Linked DNA regions of Styela clava. The protein of the gene in region 2 purifies or fractionates together with the protein of the main gene of each other region. This does not show direct contact. Links are inferred from orthologs where the notes say so. Each region holds a gene or a part of one and is shown on either strand. Other genes may lie near its edges.

What was found.
Region 1: the proteins of succinate dehydrogenase [ubiquinone] flavoprotein subunit, mitochondrial-like (region 2) and succinate dehydrogenase assembly factor 2-B, mitochondrial-like purify together in Homo sapiens (co-immunoprecipitation; 3 studies listed by BioGRID and IntAct, counting the BioPlex papers as one, with this or other methods). This does not show direct contact. The link is inferred for Styela clava from reciprocal best matches to the Homo sapiens genes SDHA and SDHAF2.

Annotation. Positions count from the first base shown.
Region 1 is NC_135257.1:3,690,828-3,700,347, reverse strand, and holds succinate dehydrogenase assembly factor 2-B, mitochondrial-like, read left to right. Parts: upstream 1-6,226; coding exon 6,227-6,700; downstream 6,701-9,520. Other genes in the region: tRNA (guanine-N(7)-)-methyltransferase non-catalytic subunit wdr4-like, read left to right, coding at 8,935-9,520.
Region 2 is NC_135261.1:7,413,314-7,425,179, reverse strand, and holds the start of succinate dehydrogenase [ubiquinone] flavoprotein subunit, mitochondrial-like, read right to left. Parts: upstream 4,688-11,866; 5' UTR 4,586-4,687; coding exon 4,526-4,585; intron 3,701-4,525; coding exon 3,449-3,700; intron 3,137-3,448; coding exon 3,081-3,136; intron 342-3,080; coding exon 254-341; intron 1-253. UniProt on the Homo sapiens protein: Flavoprotein (FP) subunit of succinate dehydrogenase (SDH) that is involved in complex II of the mitochondrial electron transport chain and is responsible for transferring electrons from succinate to ubiquinone (coenzyme Q).

The DNA of each region.
Region 1 (9,520 bases), on a different chromosome or scaffold from region 2:
AAAGTAGACCTTCGAATATTTTTCACTGGCTTTTGATAAAAGCTGTGATATGAGTGATACTGAGCAATTATCAATCCGCGCTGTAGCAAAAGACCTATCTGCTTACGAAGATCTTGTTGGACTTTATGACACAACACGTGGATATAAAATAGATATAAAAGAAGCTGTGTTAAATGCGTTTCACTATAAAATTAGTTGGATTGACGACGGCGCAGCTTCTATGACTGGTAAAGAAAACGGTGCGGTGACGCTATTGAAAAAGTACTTGCAATAATCTGATTTTACTCAGGACAATATTACTTTTCACTGCTTCATTCATCAAGAGTCTCTTTGTGCTCAATGTATAAAGATGACTCATGTTATGGACGTTGTTGTAAAATGTGTGAATGAAATTCTGTCGAAAGGATTGAAGCACCGCCAATTTCGAGCATTCTTGTTGGAGATGAAAACACAATACAAGGACTTAGTGCATCACTCTCAAGCTTGCTGGTTAAGTCGATGGAAACTTTTGCAGCACTTTCTTAGCCTTTTTGAAGAAATTGAAATATTTTCACAGGAAAAAAGCTTGGTTCCTGACTTTGAGAAGTATGCTATAATATGGAGTCCCCGTCGTCAAATCTTTTCAAGACGCTTTCAAGATTATAATGACTGGAAGGGGCAAATGAATTTATTTCAAAGACCATTGAGTGTGGATGTTGAATATATTGAAGACGCGGACGCTCAACTGGAACTTCTGGATTTGAGGTCAAACCATGTTTTGCAGGATGTTTTTTTAACAAAATTCAGTACTTGAGTTCTACTCTCGCCTCGAAGAAGAGAATTATCCAGTTTTGTTGAGAAATTCAAAAGTCTGGATTTGTTAATTTGCAAGCACGTACAGTTGTTAACAGGCATTCTCAATCATGAAAATAAACAAATTCCAGCTACGGACTCGTTTACTAGATGAGCATATAGATTCAGTGATGCGAATCGCTATTTCTCCCTTGAAGCTCAACATTTCAAATTTGGTCCAACAAAAACGTCTTCAAATCAGCGGTTTTACACGGGATCAAATCGTTTCAATAAATAGATATTCGTTATTATGTATTATCATTGAAGTTTGTTTGATATATGTTATACGGGAATTTGTTTACAATACCAAAAATTGTGCGTGGCACGCGACAAAATTATTTTGAAAAATTTGGCACATATCCTCATTTGAGTTGTGCACCACTGGTCTAGACCAGACATGGTTAAAGTACGCCCCGCGGGTACGTCTAACCTTTCATGTCACACTGACATGGCCCGCCAGACTGAGTAGGTAAAATTTTTGGCCCCTGATTTGAAAACCATGCCCACCCCTGGTCTAGATTCTACTAGAGGTAGAGCAAATAATTTATCCCAGAATTATTTTAAAACAAAATATATGTTGTTCTATAATAATAAAAAAACATGCTATTACCAACTTTGGAGTAGGCTCTGGCAGTAATATAATTTAACAAAGCAAAACCGTTGAATATTTGGTTAAACAATTGATGACGAATTGAGTTGGAAGCCACATAGCTCAGGCATGAAAGAAATTACGCAAACTCTAGGAATATTTCACAGATTAGGGCACATTCTGAACTGCGAAACACTTAAATTAGAATATTTTAGTTTATTCCACTCGCGACTACTTAGTTGGGGTTCAGCAACAAGGTCTTCCTTACAGCCAATTCATGTTCTGCAAAATAAAGTTTTAAGGTGCATGACATTTGGAAAGAAAAGTCGTGTAAATAATTTGCAGCTTTACCGTCAGTATGAATTCCTACAGTTCTCGAATATGAATACACTAGAATTTGCAAAGTTCATGCATCGGTATGAAAATTTAACCATTATTTCACCCCATTACAAAACGTTCATAGTCACCGCCCCAGGTCTCAAATAAACAAGAGTTACACACGTTCTCACAAGTGTCTACTGAGGTGGAAAAAACATCTTTGAAGTATGTAGGTGTATAGGTTTGGGGCAGTGTTCCACCTGGAACCAAAAAAAGTCGTGTGCATATTTTCACATAGTTTTTTTTTCTTACTGAAACACTCAAATTTGTCAACTTTATCAATACCTCATGTTAATATGCATGTAGTAATGTATAATACTATAAGTTCAATTGCTTCACATATCAAAACTGTATACTGAAGGTCTTAGGCCTCTTCCAACTTTACGTATAATGGAATGTTTTATTCCCTCTTTTATGACACAAATTCTCGTTTTATCACTCTGTAATGATTGTGATGTTTACGATTATTGTTCAATAATGAGTTCTAAAAAAACTGAATCAAAAGCCATTATAAACAAGAGAGCTATGCTCAAATATTTGGACACGTAGAGTCACATAATTTTGATGACGTCATAGCGAAAAAAAAAGTAATAGCCTTCTGGAGAAAATTTTTATCTTTAACCACTGAAAATTTCAAAGCAATTGGTCCAGTATTCGAAGAGAAAAGCGACTTTTTAAAAACGTGTCAAAGAACAACAACAACAACATAATATTGAAACGATCGTTATGTCCACTACGTGTCCAATAATTGTAAAAATTAAACTCTTGATAACTGTCATAATTCTCTGGGACTCAAAAACTTCAAGTGACCTATTAAGATCACGACTTGCAGTATTAACTTTACAATGGCGAATTGCTGACTCCCACATATATATCAATTTTTTTTAATTCTATTTTATCCGTTTTTCATCGCAGATGCAGTTTCTGAATGATTACATATATACAGCTTACACACATGGGCCATGATCCTCGATGACCTAACCGGACTTGCATGAGGAGGTTTCTATATTTAGTTTTTGTTTCTGCAGACAACAAGAATTTTTCTCACACAGATAGGCGGTATAGGAAATCTTATCAGAACTTTTGGAGCTTCGAGTGATTGAATTCTTTCATCAGTATGATCCAAAACTGTGTGAGTTCTATTTCTTTAAACTTGCTCGTCAATTCCAAGTTCGGTGATTTATCAACCAGCTGTTCTTTTAATGAGAGGGTTGCCACGTTAGGGAAAGCATGAAATGAGTTCTGAATCCAAAGAAAGTTACCAGCGTTGATGATAAAATACCTTTCAATAAATTCAGCTATATTCGTTAGATACTGGGAGATAGAGACTTTCATATTTACTTTTTTATTTGCAAAACAAGCTGGTTCGAAAGAATATATTCACATAAATTTCATTCAAGCATTCGTGCTTTCCTCCAAGGATGGGACCTTGAGCTTTGAAATATGTTACTTTATTTCCTTGTAACAAAATATTTACTTCATTCAAGTTAGGGAAAATATCTGCCAAACAACGCCAACGAATAAAGTCACTGCACTGCATTTAACAGCAAACTCGTGTTGTTTTAAAAAAATGAAAAACTCTTCATGCAACTCATAAAATCTTGCCAACACCGTCTCTCTCAACAACTAGCGAACTTCAGTAAGTAACAATAACGTTCTGTGAGTTTTTCATATATCTTCACACAGCAATTTAAAAATTATGGAATTGAGTGGCCTAGCTTCAATAGAGCCAACAATTTTTGTCACATCTCCCAGCACTTCAACTAAATCAGGAGGCATCCGGTTAGCTGCCAGGGCATGTCGGTGAATGAGACAATGAATGTCAACAGTTTTTCAAATTTTTATTTGAGCCATAACTCCAGAACATTTACCCCACATTGCTGCCACACCATCTGTACACACTCTTGGACAGTTTTTCCATAATATATCATGATCCTCAAAAAAAGATTGAATCAGTAAAAATATATATATATATCGCCTGTCGTGTAAGTTTGTAAAGGTTTGCTGAAAAGTAGGTTTTCTTTAGTCTCAAAATTATAGATGTAATGAACGAATACAGGTAATAGACCTATAGCTAAATCCTTTGTCCATTTGAGGAGAAAAACTGCCTGGAAACTGTACTGTTTGAAAGAGGTACGGCCTCTATTTTGCGAACATAATTTTTGCTTATCATGCTCTCAACTAAATCTTTTGCACACGATTTTATTAGGTTTTCAGCTATTGTGTGAGCCTCTCTTTGTTGTGTTATTCATTCAAAAACTAAAAATAAAAAAGACTGAGTCCGTTTTTGTGATCTTCACAGACAAGCCTTGGAAACATATTTTCCCTTTCATTTAGTTCTTGGTTCTTCATTTTTAAATAAAACCGATGTTTCTATTTTTAAGTTGGGAGTGATTTGTTTCTGAATGCCGTTTGAAAAAACAGTTCCACATTTTACACGAAGCTCATTTAACTCTTTCTCATCATCCGTCCATATGAAGCCAAAAATTAATTTTCATTATATTTTATTTTCTTAAAATCTTCAATAGTTTTCTTATTGTTTAAGTTCGATTGCGAACACGATACCACTGCAGCAGTTACACATGAGTCATTTGCAGTTGACTTGCTTTCGTTTATCTTTACGATTTTTATATTGTAAAGGGTAAAAACAATATTTGCAATTTTTTTTATATATTTATGCCTACGCTGTTAGACACAATCTACGAAAATTAAACTAGGTACTGAAAATGCAACAGATATACGACCTTCCAAGAGGAACAGGAGAGAGAGAGAAAGATATTTATTTTTTCGTCAACCAAAAATAACAGTCATCCTAATAATAAATAATAATAAAAATACCAATAAGAAATAAATTAGTTTGGTATAGACAGGAGGGAGTGATACGACCAGACGGTCATCAAAGTCAACTCCCCCCTTCAAGCTATTATGTTTAAGATCCACAGTTTCAGATGACTAAAATATTGGGGAGGAACATTCTAGAATTTGAAATTATATTCTCAAAATGTCGACAGGAGGAAAATTGCTGCTTTTAAATTGTGGTGCTACCATAGACTTCTTCATGTAGACTGGGTGGACACACGAATGGGTGCCGGAGAAGATTGGACCATGCCAAAGACTGCTGGACAACATCAATAAGAGGAAATTATGATTTCTTAACATGTGGCCAGAACAGACGGCGTAACAAAAGATATGCTCTTTAGTACAACCCTGGGCAAAAAAGACGTGGAAGACCAAGAATGTCGGACACCTTGGGTGGGATTATTCTGGCTGAGTTGCTCAGAATGGCGCAGGACTGGAGACAATGATTCATGAAGAGTGCCGCGTTTGGTCAGTGATGGTCATTCCGGCAAAGAAAGAGAGAGCAGGAACAGACCGAAGACACTAACTAACATGCGTGAATGATAAATTGAGCAGTTGCCAGATGCTTCTAACCGAAAAGAGCTACAAGGGACAAGCCACATTTAAATTAAGCATCGCTCATTCATCAAATTTTTGTATGTATAGAATGAAAAATATAAAGAATTTAAATATTAAACCGTTCTTAATAGGGTTGATACAAGCTAGAAATAAAATTAAATTCCACATATAAATTATATTAACGCTGAAAATTTGACTCTGGACAAAGATTTCAACTTAAGTGGTGTTGAAATGTGGCAACAAAGCGGTAACTGAATATGATAAGTAAGTGTTACTGTTTGATTCGATTTCGAAATGTGATATTATAATGTGATGTCATATTTGAATTACCGCCGTCATATTTACGGTAATTGCCACAGTTCAATGCTACCGTTGTCAACTTTTATTATTGCCGTTATTGCTTCCTTGGACAGATACTGGTACAAAGTTAGCCGAGTCAGTATTTTAATAAGTAAACGAATAGTAAGTGTAAGTAAGCTAGTTTATTTCCGTTACAACAAAACAATGATAACAAACAAATATACGGAAAATCGGGAAAGTGGGCAAAATCCCAAAAAGATTTAAGACGTGATGATGCACGTGCCCACTTACCCCAAACAACACATCAACAAATTTAGAAAAAGACACGAAAGATAATTCTGGCGTTAAATACCGGTATCTAGGTGAATAGCTAACGGAGCCCTAGTTTTCTCTCACAGATCACTTTAAGAGCCTACTTGATGGTATGCTTTAGTTAGACTACCGTACATCTTACAAATGCCAGGATGAAAAAATGCCTTTCTGCCTTCCCAAAATTGATTCCATTTAGGTAGGTGCCGTCCAGATTTTGCTAAGTTACATTCTTAGGCCTAATTACAGAATTACCTATGCCAGTATGCTGAGCATTTTTTCCCATTACAGTCTGACAGTATTCTGGTATACCTTAGTCTGCCAATTACTGAATGAACGTTAGAAGTTGTATCATTCGCTAAATTGAATATAATTTTTACTGTTGCTTTGAGTGGATTTGCAATGCAGTGTGCTTATTCCTTGTTGGTACACAGGAGTAGAGGTGCCTTACACACTGTTATTCAAAGATTTACGAGCAAAGATACCGTCCCAGCCGAAGATAGCGATCTGCGAGATATTTCTTATCCGACATACAAGCCCAAAGATTCACAAGAATCTTTGGTAAAGAAAAGAGCAAGACTCACATGGCAAAGTAGAAAAAGGGGAATTGCTGAAAACTGTTTACTTTTCAGTACTTTTGCTGATAAGTATCTAAATGACTTAACAGCAGATCAGTTGATTATGTATGATAAATTATTGAACACGGCGGATAATGACTGGGATATGTACTATTGGATGACTGGTGCGAGATCTATCCCAAGAGAATTTGATAATGAAATTATGCAACTTTTGCAAAAGCATTGTAAAAATGAGGAGAAATCTGAACGATTTGAACAACCTCCATTAAATTATGAACCTATTGATAAAAAGGTTTGAGATCTATGTCATATCTTAGTGTATTTTTGAATTGGCTTGCTGGGAATTATGAAACAGTGAACTGCTCTAGGATGACTTGATTACTTGGAATTTGGTGATTCATCCATCGTGAATCGAAGTCATGCTCCATCTTTTCTAACGTTAGACATGGGGTGTCTTCAGAGATTTCTAAAATACCTAAAATATGTTTGTTATTAATGGTTTCTGGTTTGTTCTGCATTTTCAAAATTGATTCGACATTTGTAATAAAATGTTGATATTGTTGAAATTGTTTAAAAAGATTGGAATATAGTAGTGAAGCATTTGTTAACTGTTAAACATCATTTCAAAATACTGATTTTCAAATTTTTTTATTTAATAATTGTTTTATTAATTTCTGATGATATCTTGTTCTTATATTACAGTAATATAATTTCGATTTGTATTTTGGTGAATGATAAATGTTAAAATATTACGATTTGCTTATTTTTTTGTGTTTATAGAGAGTTAATACTAAATGTTAAAAGATCTTGAAGAAATTGATTCATCTGATAGTGATAGTTCAATTATCGAAGATAAAGGCATTTCTTCCAAATCACTCCCTGGTACTCTCACTGCCAGGGTACTAAAATTGAGGGAACAACTAAATAAAGAAGAGGTTTGGCGACACTTCAATTTTTCTGTATAAAATGCTTCTATTTTAGAGATTATTTCACATGAGTAATTAACCATGCATTCATGAAATATTCAAGCATGTGGTAATTTTCCAATGAAAGTTTGACATAATCATTAATATCTGTAAAATTCATATTATAATAACCATAAGTGACTATAAAAACAATGATTATATCAAACTCTTTTTTAGGCTAGAGTTTGTTTAATGATGTCATTATATATATTTGATACAGGGTCTTGAAAAGTTAACAGATCAAGTATATGTTGAGAGGGAAACATCTTCATCCGGAGTCAAATTAATGTAGGTTCATGTATATAATTTGGATGAAAATTAGATATTACATGTTAGTTCCATTGTATCAGGTTTTTCTCTAATTCTGGTCCAACTTCTGAGGTATGAATAAATTTTGTTTTATACTGCAGTGCTGTCATTAAATGTCATGGAGAATTCTCAAATTGTTATTTTCAAGATTTGCTTTTTTGAAATTCAGTAAAATTTGTTCCTACTCCAAAAAATCAAAGTTCATTTAGTAGCAGTGACTGGTATATTACATTTACCTTGTAGTAGGGATACCTGTCAATCTTTACATAAGGTTATATATATCAACTTAGCCCTTTCAAATAACTCATGAAATTATTATCATAATGCTAATTCACATTTATCTTTAGAGAGTCATCAAGTTCTACTTCTACATTCTCTCACTCTGAGGGAGACCTAAAAAATCAGCAAGTAAGTTATACTTTTTTAAATTTGTGAGATTCATGTGTAACGGAGCATAGGATACTTTCAAGCAATGATATGCATAAGAATCTATATATTTTTTGTTGATAACATCTGGTTACACCAAACTCTTTTGGATCTATACCAAATAACAGGAATATTAACTAAAATGGTTCAATTCGACGTTTTGTTTTCAATTGCTAGTTGGTTTTGAAGAAAAAGTTGAACCAATGTCTAAGACAAGGGAATGTAACTGAGGCTGATAAGTTGAGTGATCAATTGAGCCAAACTGAGCTTCAACTTCGTGAAATTAAAGCTGTTGTTGCAAGAGATTACTTAAAAAGAAAGTGTGCAAAAGAGGAAGACAAAGCAAGAAGAAAGAAAAAGAAACTTGCTTGGGGGTACGTTTATATAGCCAGTATATAAAGCTTGCTTCCAAATTTTGACTTTTTCAAAGATTCAGTTTCAAGTTGTTCAGTGTGATTTGATCTTCAGGTAAGTAGATTCAAGATGGGGAAAGATATACTTTTGTTTTCATGTGAAAAACTGATATCTGATTCAGTGTAACTAACTCATGTTCATGAATGACGATATTTTGTCTAAAAGCAGCATTGGTAACCCTGACTCATAAAGAGGCAGAGTACTTCCTAGAGATAACACTTCTAACTAACATGTTTCTATGGTTGAAGTTAATAATTGCTTTACATGTTGTTCACATTCCTTTAAAATTCTACAACAGTGTGATGTTCTACTTCAATAGTGGTAATAATAAGATATTTGCTATTAATAAGATATTTATGTTCAGGTTTGAAACCAAGAAAAAGTGGGAAACTAAGAGTAACATGTAACAAGTTTGAAAATGGCTAAAATTTGTTGCTCAGAATCATTTTTATCAGTCGCATCAAAAGACCTCCTAAAAGTATTTTCCTTGGAAAAAGGACAGTGTTTGTACACATATACACATGAATTTGACAACTCAGTCACAGATGGGAATAATAAACCATTGGATGATAGACTTGAAGACTTGTGTTGTACAAGCGATGGAAAATATATTTGTGCAATGTACTCCGATAAACGAATTGTGGTCTTGGACCCAACTGAATGGGAATCTGCCAAAGAAATTAAAGTTAAAAGACGTCCTACTGCTATGTGCTTTGACCACAGTGGGAATGTCTTATTCATAGCAGACAAATCGGGTGATTTATACAAATATGATCTGCAGACTGAACACAAAGGTATGGACTTTGAAACCAAAGAAATTGAACCTATTCTTGGTCATGTTTCCATGCTATTAGACGTGAAAGTTAGTTGTGATGGCAAATACATTATTTCTGCTGATCGTGATGAAAAAATAAGAGTTAGTGAAGTTAAGAATCCTTACATTATTGAAGAATTTTGCCTAGGTCATGCGGAGTTTGTTTGCAAAGTTGAACCTGTTCCTCACG
Region 2 (11,866 bases):
TAGACATAAACATGATTATAACTGATTTTCTATCTAGTGTCAAAAGATTACTGAAGTTTTTGAAAAATTTTCAAATTGAATATTTAACATTCTTTCTAAAATCAAGACTTTACTATATAAAATATAACAAATTTGAAGCGTCATCATAATATTCGATTCGTGTTGAATATGGATGAAAAATAACATCTCACTGTCTTGGTCTGTATCATAGCTAATTCAAGTCAGATTTTATGATAAAACAATATTTTTATACCTCAATAACTGCTGCAGGAGCCTCTTTTGTCATATAATGAATTGCATCTTGATCTCCAAGCCAATCTGATCCTTTTACTGTGTCATACCTGGAAAATTATTGAGTCATGTTAGAGTAAGCGAGTACATGTAGATTTAAGTAAAGAGAAAATTTCCACAAGGTGTTGGACATCCTGAACTACAATCCTGACAAAGCATCCGCACCACAACCGTTGTCGAATAAACTATACATTTTGAAACTACGGTACTTACGTATGAATAGAGATGCTCGGTGAGAATTCGAATCATATTGGAAGATCTATTACCAAATTTGGGTTCAAAAGAATCAGTAATCAGTAATCAGTAGTTTATTTCTCACCATACTTAAAATAGGCACAAACATACAAATTGCAATAAATTAAAATATAAATTGGCCATATTTCAGGGTGAAGGAGACGCGAGAAACCAATACTGGTTATCGAGCAGCGGCACCTATAAAATAAGTCTAACACTATAATATAAAAAACAAAAAAACGAACTAAGTTTAAATAAATTGAGGAAAAAAATACATAAAATATCTCGAGACGATCTGCTGTAACCAGCAATCGCTCGCTTCAACCAAAGTGACTATAATAGTCACTTAGGCTTCAACAAAAGAAAAGACAACTCCGAACACCACTGATTCGGTAGCCATGGAGATGGCGTTAGTGGATTGTATCACAACAATACTATTGTGATGCCCATTAGCTAACAATGGGCAATAAATGTCAAATTCTGATGGCGCATGGTTATTGGTTACAGTGGAACCCATGGTTTGCTGAGGGCGACAACAGGATCACCAACGAATAAACCATACCTTTATGCTAGAAAGGAATTGAGGTACCTGTTTGTTAATGGGATCTAGTGATTGGCAGCTGGAGTCAGGGCTTCACATAACGTTACAGGAAATATAAAATCAGGGAAGACATGAAATATCAAAATGTGAAAGATATTCCATAACAGTCATTCAAAACGAATGTAACCTAGTATCAACATTCACACTGGGAAACTAGATAGACTACTAGACATGAAACAGCAAAACTAAGAAGAGTCAAGTACCGTAGTCTAATAGTTGAGTGAACCAATGAAGCAAAGTTTAAAAGTACATAAAAAAATATTATTTGTCAGGTAATACTTTTACAATGTTATATAAGAGTATAATGACAATCAGATAAACAATTTGGGCTTTACTGACTGCAAGAGAAAACAAGTCACGATGTTATGCTAATTAACCAAGATCTTGAGCAGATGGGCTTAGAATTTCAATGTGGTTAAATTCCATGAATTCGTACAAAGCTTCATGAACCATCTCAAACATAAGAAAAGTAGTTTACTATATTGTGCAGGTTACGAACAAATACAGGTCATGCAATTAGCATGGCACACTTTACATAATTCAAATCACTGGCAAGAATGCAATAAGATGAGGACATGAAAAAATTGAAAAAAAGTATTATTATTACAGGTATAGGCCTAGCAGAGCAAGCGAGTGCTGAGGCCACATCATTTGGATGCAATCACAGCAGACTGGTAAGGTGACAGCAAGAATTTTTTATATTTTGTTTTGAAAGTTTCATAAGAAGAGTCACGTAAGATTTGGGGAATACTATTCCAAATTACAACACCCTTATACTTCAAGGAGTTTAGGGACTTGCTTAGCGAAAATCTGGGAACAAAAAAATTCGATTTTGTCGAAGAGCGTGTGTTATGCTCATGCACATTACTGAGAACAGTGAAATAATCAGCGAAAGCTGCAGGCAATTGGTTGTTGTGGAACTGGTGCATAATCTTAGAAATTTCTAATTTATAGATGTCAGACAATTTTAGCACCCTGGCTTTATGATATAGGGTGTTTATGTTTGAACGAACTGGTGCTCCGGAGAGAATTTTAACAGCCCTATTTTGTAAAATCTCTAATTTACGCAAGCTAGTTTGAGTAGCGGAGCCCCATGCAGCTAAGGCGTATTGGATATGTGATTGAAAAAGAGCAAAGTAAATAGTCCGCAGAGTTGGGCTCGGCACATAATACTTGAGTTTTCCCAGAATCCCTACTGATCTGGAGAGTTTCTTGTACATTTCAGTGATGTGGCTGTTCCATTTGAGTTGATGGTCAATATGAAGCCCAAGATATCTATAAGACTGGACGATTTCTAGTGGAATACCATTAATTTTAATTGAAAGACTTGAATTTCTAGTCCGGCTTTTAGGGCTGAATAACATGACTTTGGATTTTTCCACATTTACAGTGAGTTTATTGCATATCATCCACTCATATACTTTATTAATTCCAGTGTTCACTTTGGCTTGGAGTGTGATCAAATCCTTCGCACTATCGAGAAGGCAGGCATCATCGGCAAACAATTTTGTCAGGAAATTAGAGCTGTTCGATAAATCGTTTATAAAAAGTAAGAAACCAATGTTACTTTCAGAATCTTGTTGAAACATAATTCCTAATGAGAGCTAGTAGCCACTTGACTTCCAACTTCAATATCAAAAAGTCAGAACAGAGTCAGAAAACTTGAAATCAACTCCAGACTGACAAAGATTTGACTAGAACTACTACTATCACAAAATTTACACTATTATCACAGTTGAAAGTATGAAATTCCAAGTCTGGGGACAAAATTTTTGACTTTGACTCCAGAACATGGGCAGTTTTTAAATATAACATCAGGTCCAACTCCATGGCAAACTTGGATTCCTGGTTTCAGACCTAATAAGAGCTTTCCCCATCAAAAATCTCAATAATTTATCCCTACATGTATCTCAAAATGGTTAAAAATAAAAGATGAAGAATGAATAAGTCTCACATGTGCCATTTCCAATTATCTTCTTCCATGTTACCAAGAGCTGCATTTATGCCACCCTGTCAGAAAGAATAACAAGATTCGTTATTGATATGATACAATCACTAGTAAAACAAATACACTGGAACCAGGGTAAGAACTAAGGGACACGAACCTCCGAACTACATGAAATATCACATCTTGATAACAGAAGTTCAGAATGTACAGGTTCTCTACACTGTTAATAAGAACGCTTAATAATATTAGTGCTTTTTGAGTTCCAGTGGTTAGTTTTGAAATACTTTAGCAACATAGAGAGTCTGCAATTCCGATTACGCGAAAAACATGTCGAACCTGGTAGAAACCAAAAAAATGGAAAAAAGGACTCAAACCTGAGCAGCCACTGTGTGAGATCGCGTTGGGAATAGTTTCGTGACGCAAGCTGTTTTGAAGCCAGCTTCTGAAAGTCCAAAAGCAGCTCGAAGACCAGCGCCCCCCGCTCCAACAACAACAGCATCGTATGTGTGGTCTATGACTGGATACTCATTCGACATCTGATCTCGTTTAACAAGTGTATTTGTCTTGCTTGAAGTGTGGAACTGATTATCTAATCCAGTCGTAATGCATGGTAGTACATTCAGACCCTTGAAAAATTAAACATTTTGGGTGAATAAATCATCTTATATACATATTTAACTTATACTTTATACATATAAGTTTATTCAATTATAAAATTTTCCGTAGTAGGCATGATGACCTAGTGTTCAAAGGGCTGGACATTAAATTGACATCACAAGTTAAAAATCTCAGGTTTGAATCCCATTCCCACAAAGTCACCCAGAGTGTGATGAATTAGTAGGCGTTGTCAAACTGGAAAGACCAATTGTGAAATATAGTAGCTTTACCTAGCAGACGTTGCTTGGGGTATAGTATAGTACCACAAGTACTTCCGGTGAGCGTAGCATAACAAATTTCGCATTTGTTATTCCCGACCCCCACCTGACTATGCCATCCAAAAGATATGTCACTACGACATCACAATCACACAACCATCCATGCATTTTGGAGGTCTTTATTACGCCACTATGATGTCGTAGTAGTGTAATTTTTTGGTGACGTAGTCAGGTGGGGGTTAGGAATGACATATGCAAAAATTGTTGAGCCAGGCCAACTAGAAATGCGTGTGGTACTAAACTATACCAGACTCGTTGATTGTCCAGAGCCATTATCGGAGTGATAGGGCGTATAAATATATCATAAAAATAAACAAGCTGACTGTTAGTGGTAAAAATATACTGAAAAATTAATAGTGTGATGCCTAATTGTCATAATAAATTCTGCATTTCTCAATTTGTAATATTAAAAGCTATCAAATCATTTGAAATTCTAGATATCTGAATATTAAAATTAGTGGCAGTACAATTTAAAAACTTCATATTTGAATGGAATTGAACATTTTCAATACTTACTGTCGATCTTGTTAAACCCACAGCAGTCTTTGATGTTATTCTTAACAGTGACGATGCCATAATTTTGGCGGAACTGATAAATGTTAGTCTATACAAAATATGATCTGTGAAGAGCAGATTAAAAGAAGGCCTGAGACTTTGACATTTAATCTCTACTCTTTCATGTTTACCCGTATTGAGGGAGGCGGACGAATCGACTGCACGGACAACTCATCAGAGATAGCCTATAAAAGACATCATCAGCAAAAAACAAAGTCGAACCCAAAGATTGAAACCTTGTCGTGATGAGTTGACCTACACCTGATGTCAGTCGGCACTAACGCCAGTCGATAAGCAAGTACATTACCGTACGCAGTTACGTGAGTTGTCTGTCTCTCGAGCATCGATGTCCAACTTCAAAGTCCCCCTTGCCTCATCCTTCCTGTTAACCCTGTCCCGATTTCCCCTGTCTAAAACAGATTGCTGAGATAATATGGTGAACGGATCATTTTTCCATGTCGCCAACTACCTACTGTCCATTTGAAAAAGCTTGAAAATCCATACAAATATAAGAGATAAAAAGATGAAACTTGGCAGGTGGGTAGAGTTCTGTTTCTTTTAACCATCTTTGAAGTTTCGCGTTTCTACATTTAAAGGAGGGGGAATAGGGGGGTGCGCATTTCCAATACGTCGATAATAGCATTGTCAGATTGTCGACCAATTTGCGACCACCGTGTTTTTGTTTGTTTGATTGCTGTAATGCGGTGCTTTGTTTAAAATTTGACGAGTTTTGTTCGAAATAACCTTGTTCTTAAAATATATGACAGTCAGATATGCAATTAGAAGCTAATTTTTTTGACGCATGGCTGCGTATGCCCTAGTCTCGACGCAGCAGAAATGATGTTCAAGGCTTGAAATCCGTGGTCGCACACTGGTCGTTCGATCGCAAATAGGCCTTCAGAGTGTCGTACTATGGTGGTTTGTATAGCTTTAACACCTGGTCGTAGAAAGTTAATTCGAGGTTTAGAGTGTAGAAGAAATACCCATGCACCTATGGTGAAAAAATTAACAGGTTATAAATATTGGTTTTTGTTTTATAGCGGTTTGAATGAAATCGTCTGCAGACTGGCTACACTACCCTACTTCTAGTTAGCCTGACTCAAGCATATGTCAATCCTAACCCCCATCTGATTATGTCGCCAGAAAAATACGTCATTTAAACGTCACAGTGGTGTAATAAGGCCCACCAAAGTATACGGATGGTCGTCCAAAACGCCCAGAAGATCACCCAAGCTATTTCTCTCGTTTTCTCGTCACAACGATCGCCATAGGAGAGGGATCGCCGGCGTTAGGGAGTTCGTTATCGGCGGCGCAGATGCCATTTCGGACGATCGTATTATACTTAAGCAACCCCCATGACAGTATGACGTGATGGTGACGTAATTTGGGTCTCGTGTAGTTTTGTACCTAACGTACTTCTAGTGGGCGTAGCATAACAATTTTTTGACATGTCAATCCTAACCCCCACCTGACTACATCATCCAAAAATTACGTCACGATCACGTTATAGAACTTGCCAAATACACGTACGATCGCCCGAAATGACATCGGCGCCGACGATAAAGAACTAACTAACGTCAGCGATCCTATCGGGATCGTTGCGACGAGAAATATAGCTGTTCGATTTCAGGTTCTCGTCTGCGCGTCTTGGGTGACAGTTTGTATAGTTTGAAGGGCTTTATTATGTCACTGTGACGTCGTAGCGACGTAATTTTTGGATGGGGTAGTCAGGTAGGATTGATAGGTGAAGGATAGGTAGGATGTTAGGATTGATAGGTGAAAAAATTGTTATGCTACGCCCTCTAGAAGTACGTTAGGTACGAAACTACACGAGACCCCACTCAAACAATAAAAACATCCTATTGACCAATATTAGAATATCCAAACCCGTCATACACCATAAAATCAAAAATAAACACTCTTGGTACCGGTACCCTTCTCAAGAACTAACATTAATTAACCAGACACAAGATAAACCTAAAACACTAAATATCCAACTAAAACAACCACAACTGTACTGCTGCAAACCACAGCTTAGGCTGATGGGACACCAGAGGACAGATGGACAACACTAAAAGGCTGAAGGAAGAAACGGATGAGGTGGAGGGAAAACGGAAGTTGAAGTGTTCCCAAAGGTGAAAATTGAAAAACACTAAAAAGCTGAACACTAAAAGTAAGAAGTGGATGAAATTTCTTCCGACGGGTAGTTAGGTGGCTGAAGTCACTGAAAAGCTGAACACTGAAAAGAAGAGATGGAGGAAATTTTTTCCGACGAATAATGAGGTGGTTGAAGTCACTAAAAAGCTGAACACTAAAAGGAAGAAGTGGATGAAATTTCTTCCGACAAATAATGAGGTGGTTGAAGTCACTAAAAAGCTGAACACTAAAAGGAAGAAGTGGATGAAATTTTTTCCGACGAATAATGAGGTGGTTGAAGCCACTAAAAAGCTGAACACAAAAAGGAAGAAGTGGATGAAATTTCTTAAGAAGTGGATGAAATTTTTTCCGACGAATAATGAGGTAGTTGAAGTCTCTAAAAAGCTGAACACTAAAAGGAAGAAGTGGATGAAATTTTTTCCGACGAATAATGAGGTGGTTGAAGCCACTAAAAAGCTGAACACAAAAAGGAAGAAGTGGATGAAATTTCTTAAGAAGTGGATGAAATTTTTTCCGACGAATAATGAGGTGGTCGAAGTCACTAAAAAGCTGAACACTAAAAGGAAGAAGTGGATGAAATTTATTCCGACGAATAATGAGGTGGTCGAAGTCACTGAAAAGATGAACACTAAAAGGAAGAAGGGGATGAAATTTCTTCCGACGAATAATGAGGCGGTTGAAATCACTGAAAAGCTGAACACTAAAAGGAAAAAATAGATGAAATTTCTTGCGACGAATAATGAGGTGGTTGAAGTCACTAGAAAGCTGAACACTAAAAGGGAGAAGTGGATAAAAAAATTTCCGACGAATAATGAGGTGGTTGAAGTCACTAAAAACTGTATACTAAAAGGAAGAAGTGAATGAAGTTTCTTCCGACGAATAATACGGTGTTTGAAGTCACTAAAAAGATGAACAGTAAAAGGAAGAAGTGGATGAAATTTCTTCCGACGAATAATGAGGTGTTTGAAGTCACTAAAAAGCTGAACAGTAAAAGGAAGAAGTGGATGAAATTTCTTCCGACGGATAGTGAGGATGAGGAATACTTGAAAATTTAATATATTAGGAATTGGGTAATTTAATGTTTGTTTTGTTCGTATTTATGTGACAATGTCCTCGTGGATTCGTTTTTTGTTAATTTTTTATATGTTATGCTCAGTTCAAGCCTGGCGAATATTGAAGGCAATGACATTCTCGTTATATTTTTTTTAATTTTGATGTAATGTGCAAACAAATTACTATATATATATATATATATATATATATATATATTCATATCTAGCATTTCCTGCCGTATAATGGGTATGTTGCGCCACAATGGGTGGTTACGGCGAGGCATGTTTTGAAATAGATGTCTTGTTTTTCAAGACGCGTGAAGCTGATTTTGTTATCAAATCAATTTTTCCAATCAACAAACCTTGTAATTTATAATATGTTTGTGGCCCCCCTCAAAATGCCTCTGAGGCTTACCAGTGGCCCATGGCCCATTGGTTGAGAACCAGTGGTCTAACAGGACTTCGATTTGACTAATACATCATTATTCAAAGCCTTCGTGCGTGAACTGCTTGCAAAATTTATAAAAACAGATATTAAGTTCAAAGAATGAAATACGGGATCAAAAATTAATTATATTCGGGCACAATACCACGGCAATCTATGTACATAGATGTGTGGTTTACTGCGCGATTATTATTAATTTTTGATACCTATTTTCGTATTTACAAAATACAACGGCGATCCATGGCGGCGACGTTCTGGACATGCTGCGTATAAAAAATATTCGGTATTGGACTATTCGGTATTTGTTAAAAATATTCGAATTATTTGATTCGAAAAAAATATTCGATTTTGCCCACCCTTTTCTTGGCCGCCATAGGAGTATAAAAAACACGAAAAATTGAGAGTCACCGAGAAAGAGCTGCGTGTTTGTCTCTCTCAATTTAATTCCAGCCAGAATAAAATATTGAAACTTATCGAAACAGGCCCAAATATTACATTAAAATACCATTTCTGTTCCTAGCTCTGAATCGGAATATGTGTAACGTCTTTTCCAGCTGAAGTTGACAAGCTATTATTAATTTCGTTAATTTATTTTATTCCGAAATGATCGATGTCAGTTAATTGCATAATATAGTTTATTTCCAAAAATCTCATTTGGTGTTCCGTCACAATTTTAGAATAAAAAAAGTGTTCCGCGATACAAAAAAGGTTGAAAATCACTGGTGTACGAGGTTAGGGATCAGGTTGTGCGACATCTTGGTGCGCGTACTTCAGTAGTACCAATATTTCAATTTCAACGGAGTTTAAATTAAATTTCAATCAAAATTAAATGTTTTCTAGAAGTCGGTATCTGATCGTTTATCAATTCATGTCAAAGCGTACCATAACTTAGTCGCAGAGAAGGTGTGCTGTTGCATATTTTTAACAAAATTGCAACGAACTTTCGGGTATACGATTCATTTTAATTTGCGTGTGATAGAAACTTAGGTCATTCAGTAGAATACTCAACTGACAGATTGAAGGAAATTAATTACCCACACAGCACGTCAGCATCTCGAGTGATGATCAGGGTGTGTTGCGCTGAACATGAAAATGAATGAAGGCAGATCGATAAAAGTAAATAACGAAAAATTCAGTTACATTCCCGTCTGGCAATTGGTGTTATTTGGAGTGTTTGTTTTTCTTCGCTAAACGGCTCTCTTTCTTTCGAATCGCGTAAATCAGATTCGAAAAAAATTGCGGTTTGAATCGATTCAATTCATAAATTTAAAAGTGGCATGCCTACTCATCAGTCCGCTGTCAGGGTCTTCATCCAATCTCACTTCCGTCGGGATATGTTTTGGCTATTTAACTCTCCTAATTTTCGGTATTTTAGTGGCTTCAACCGCCTCAAAATCGATAGGACAAAATAACATCTAACCCTAACGTACTTCTTGCTTATAGTGTTTAGCTTTTCAGTGACCTCCGCCACCTCATTATTCGTCGGAAAAAATTTCATCCACTTCTTCCTTTTAGTGTTCATCTTTTTAGTGACTTCAACCACCTCATTATTCGTCGGAAGAAATTTTATATACTTCTTCCTTTTAGTGTTCAGCTTTTTAGTGGCTTCAACTACCTCATTTTTCGTCGGAAAAAATTTCATCCACTTCTTCCTTTTTGTGTTCAGATTTTTAGTGGCTTCAACCACCTCATTATTCGTCGGAAAAAATTTCTTCCACTTCTTCCTTTTGGTGTTCTGCTTTTTAGTGACTTCAACCACCTCATTATTCGTCGGAAGAAATTTCATCCACTTCTTCCTTTTAGTGTTCAGCTTTTTAGTGACTTCAACCACCTCATTATTCGTCGGAAGAAATTTCATCCACACTTTCCTTTTAGTGTTCAGCTTTTTAGTGACTTCAACCACCTCATTATTCGTCGGAAGAAATTTCATCCACTTCTTCCTTTTAGTGTTCAGCTTTTTAGTGACTTCAACCACCTCATTATTCGTCGGAAGAAATTTCATCCACTTCTTCCTTTTAGTGTTCAGCTTTTTAGTGACTTCAACCACCTCATTATTCGTCGGAAGAAATTTCATCCACTTCTTCCTTTTAGTGTTCAGCTTTTTAGTGATTTCAACTACCTCATTATTCGTCGGAAGAAATTTCATCCACTCCTTCCTTTTAGTGTTCAGATTATAAGTGACTTCAACTACCTCATTTTTCGTCGGAAAAAGTTTCATCCACTTCTTCCTTTTAGTGTTCAGCTTTTTAGTGACTTCAACTACCTCATTATTCGTCGGAAGAAATTTCATCCACTTCTTCCTTTTAGTGTTCAGCTTTTTAGTGACTTCAACCACCTCATTATTCGTCGGAAGAAATTTCAACAATTTCTTCCTTTTGTGTTTAGCTTTTTAGTGACTTCAACCACCCTCATTATTCGTCGGAAGAAATTTCATCCACTTCTTCCTTTTAGTGTTCAGCTTTTTAGTGACTTCAACCACCTCATTATTCGTCGGAAGAAATTTCATCCACTTCTTCCTTTTAGTGTTCAGCTTTTTAGTTACTTCAACCACCTCATTATTCGTCGGAAGAAATTTCATCCACTTCTTCCTTTTAGTGTTCAGCTTTTTAGTTACTTCAACCACCTCATTATTCGTCGGAAGAAATTTCATCCACTTCTTCCTTTTAGTGTTCAGCTTTTTAGTGACTTCAACCACCTCATTATTCGTCGGAATAAATTTCATCCACTTCTTCCTTTTAGTGTTCAGCTTTTTAGTTACTTCAACCACCTCATTATTCGTCGGAAGAAATTTCATTCACTTCTTCCTTTTAGTGTTCAGCTTTTTAGTGACTTCAACCACCTCATTATTCGTCGGAAAAAATTTCATCAACTTCTTCCTTTTAGTGTTCAGCTTTTTAGTGACTTCAACCACCTCATTATTCGTCGGAAGAAATTTCATCAACTTCTTCCTTTTAGTGTTCAGCCTTTTAGTGTTTTTCAATTTTTCACCCTTGGGAACACTTAAACTTCCGTTTTTCCTCCACTTCATCCGTTTCTTCCTTCAGTCTTTTAGTGTCGTCCAGGGCAGATCGACATAGCGCCGTCAGTGTCTTCAATGTTAAAAATACAAAAAATAGCAATATTATCACATGACATCATTTAATTTAAAAGATAAAATAAGCGTGACCCGATGGACCTTTCCCCGACCTTTGACCCTCGGAAAATTCTCCCTATACTTTACCATTGCAAAATTGCCAGGGCTATTTTAAGAGTGCTTTTGCGAGCTTGCGCCTGTAAAATGGGGTATGTGTGTCAAATCATCATTATGATTCATCGCACACAACAATCTGTTTTTTAATAGTACCGGTAAAGAATTTCAGGCTAGTCTATCACAGCTATTTCTACACTAACTTTTATTACTGCAATTAAATTAAAACTCCTCGAAAGACAGAGAGATCATTGAATTATCTGATTTTTATTCAAGTTCCCAAAACACAACTGAAAACTAACGAATAGAGTTCAAAAACGCGAAAACGAGGTAATGTTTACAATCACGCTTGAAAATCTGTCTGAGTGAGAAAAGTTTCTGAGCGGATGCAAAAAGGGGACATTGTTATGTCACTTTTTGCATCATGCTGATTGGCCAATGTCACGAAGTAAACAAGGAAG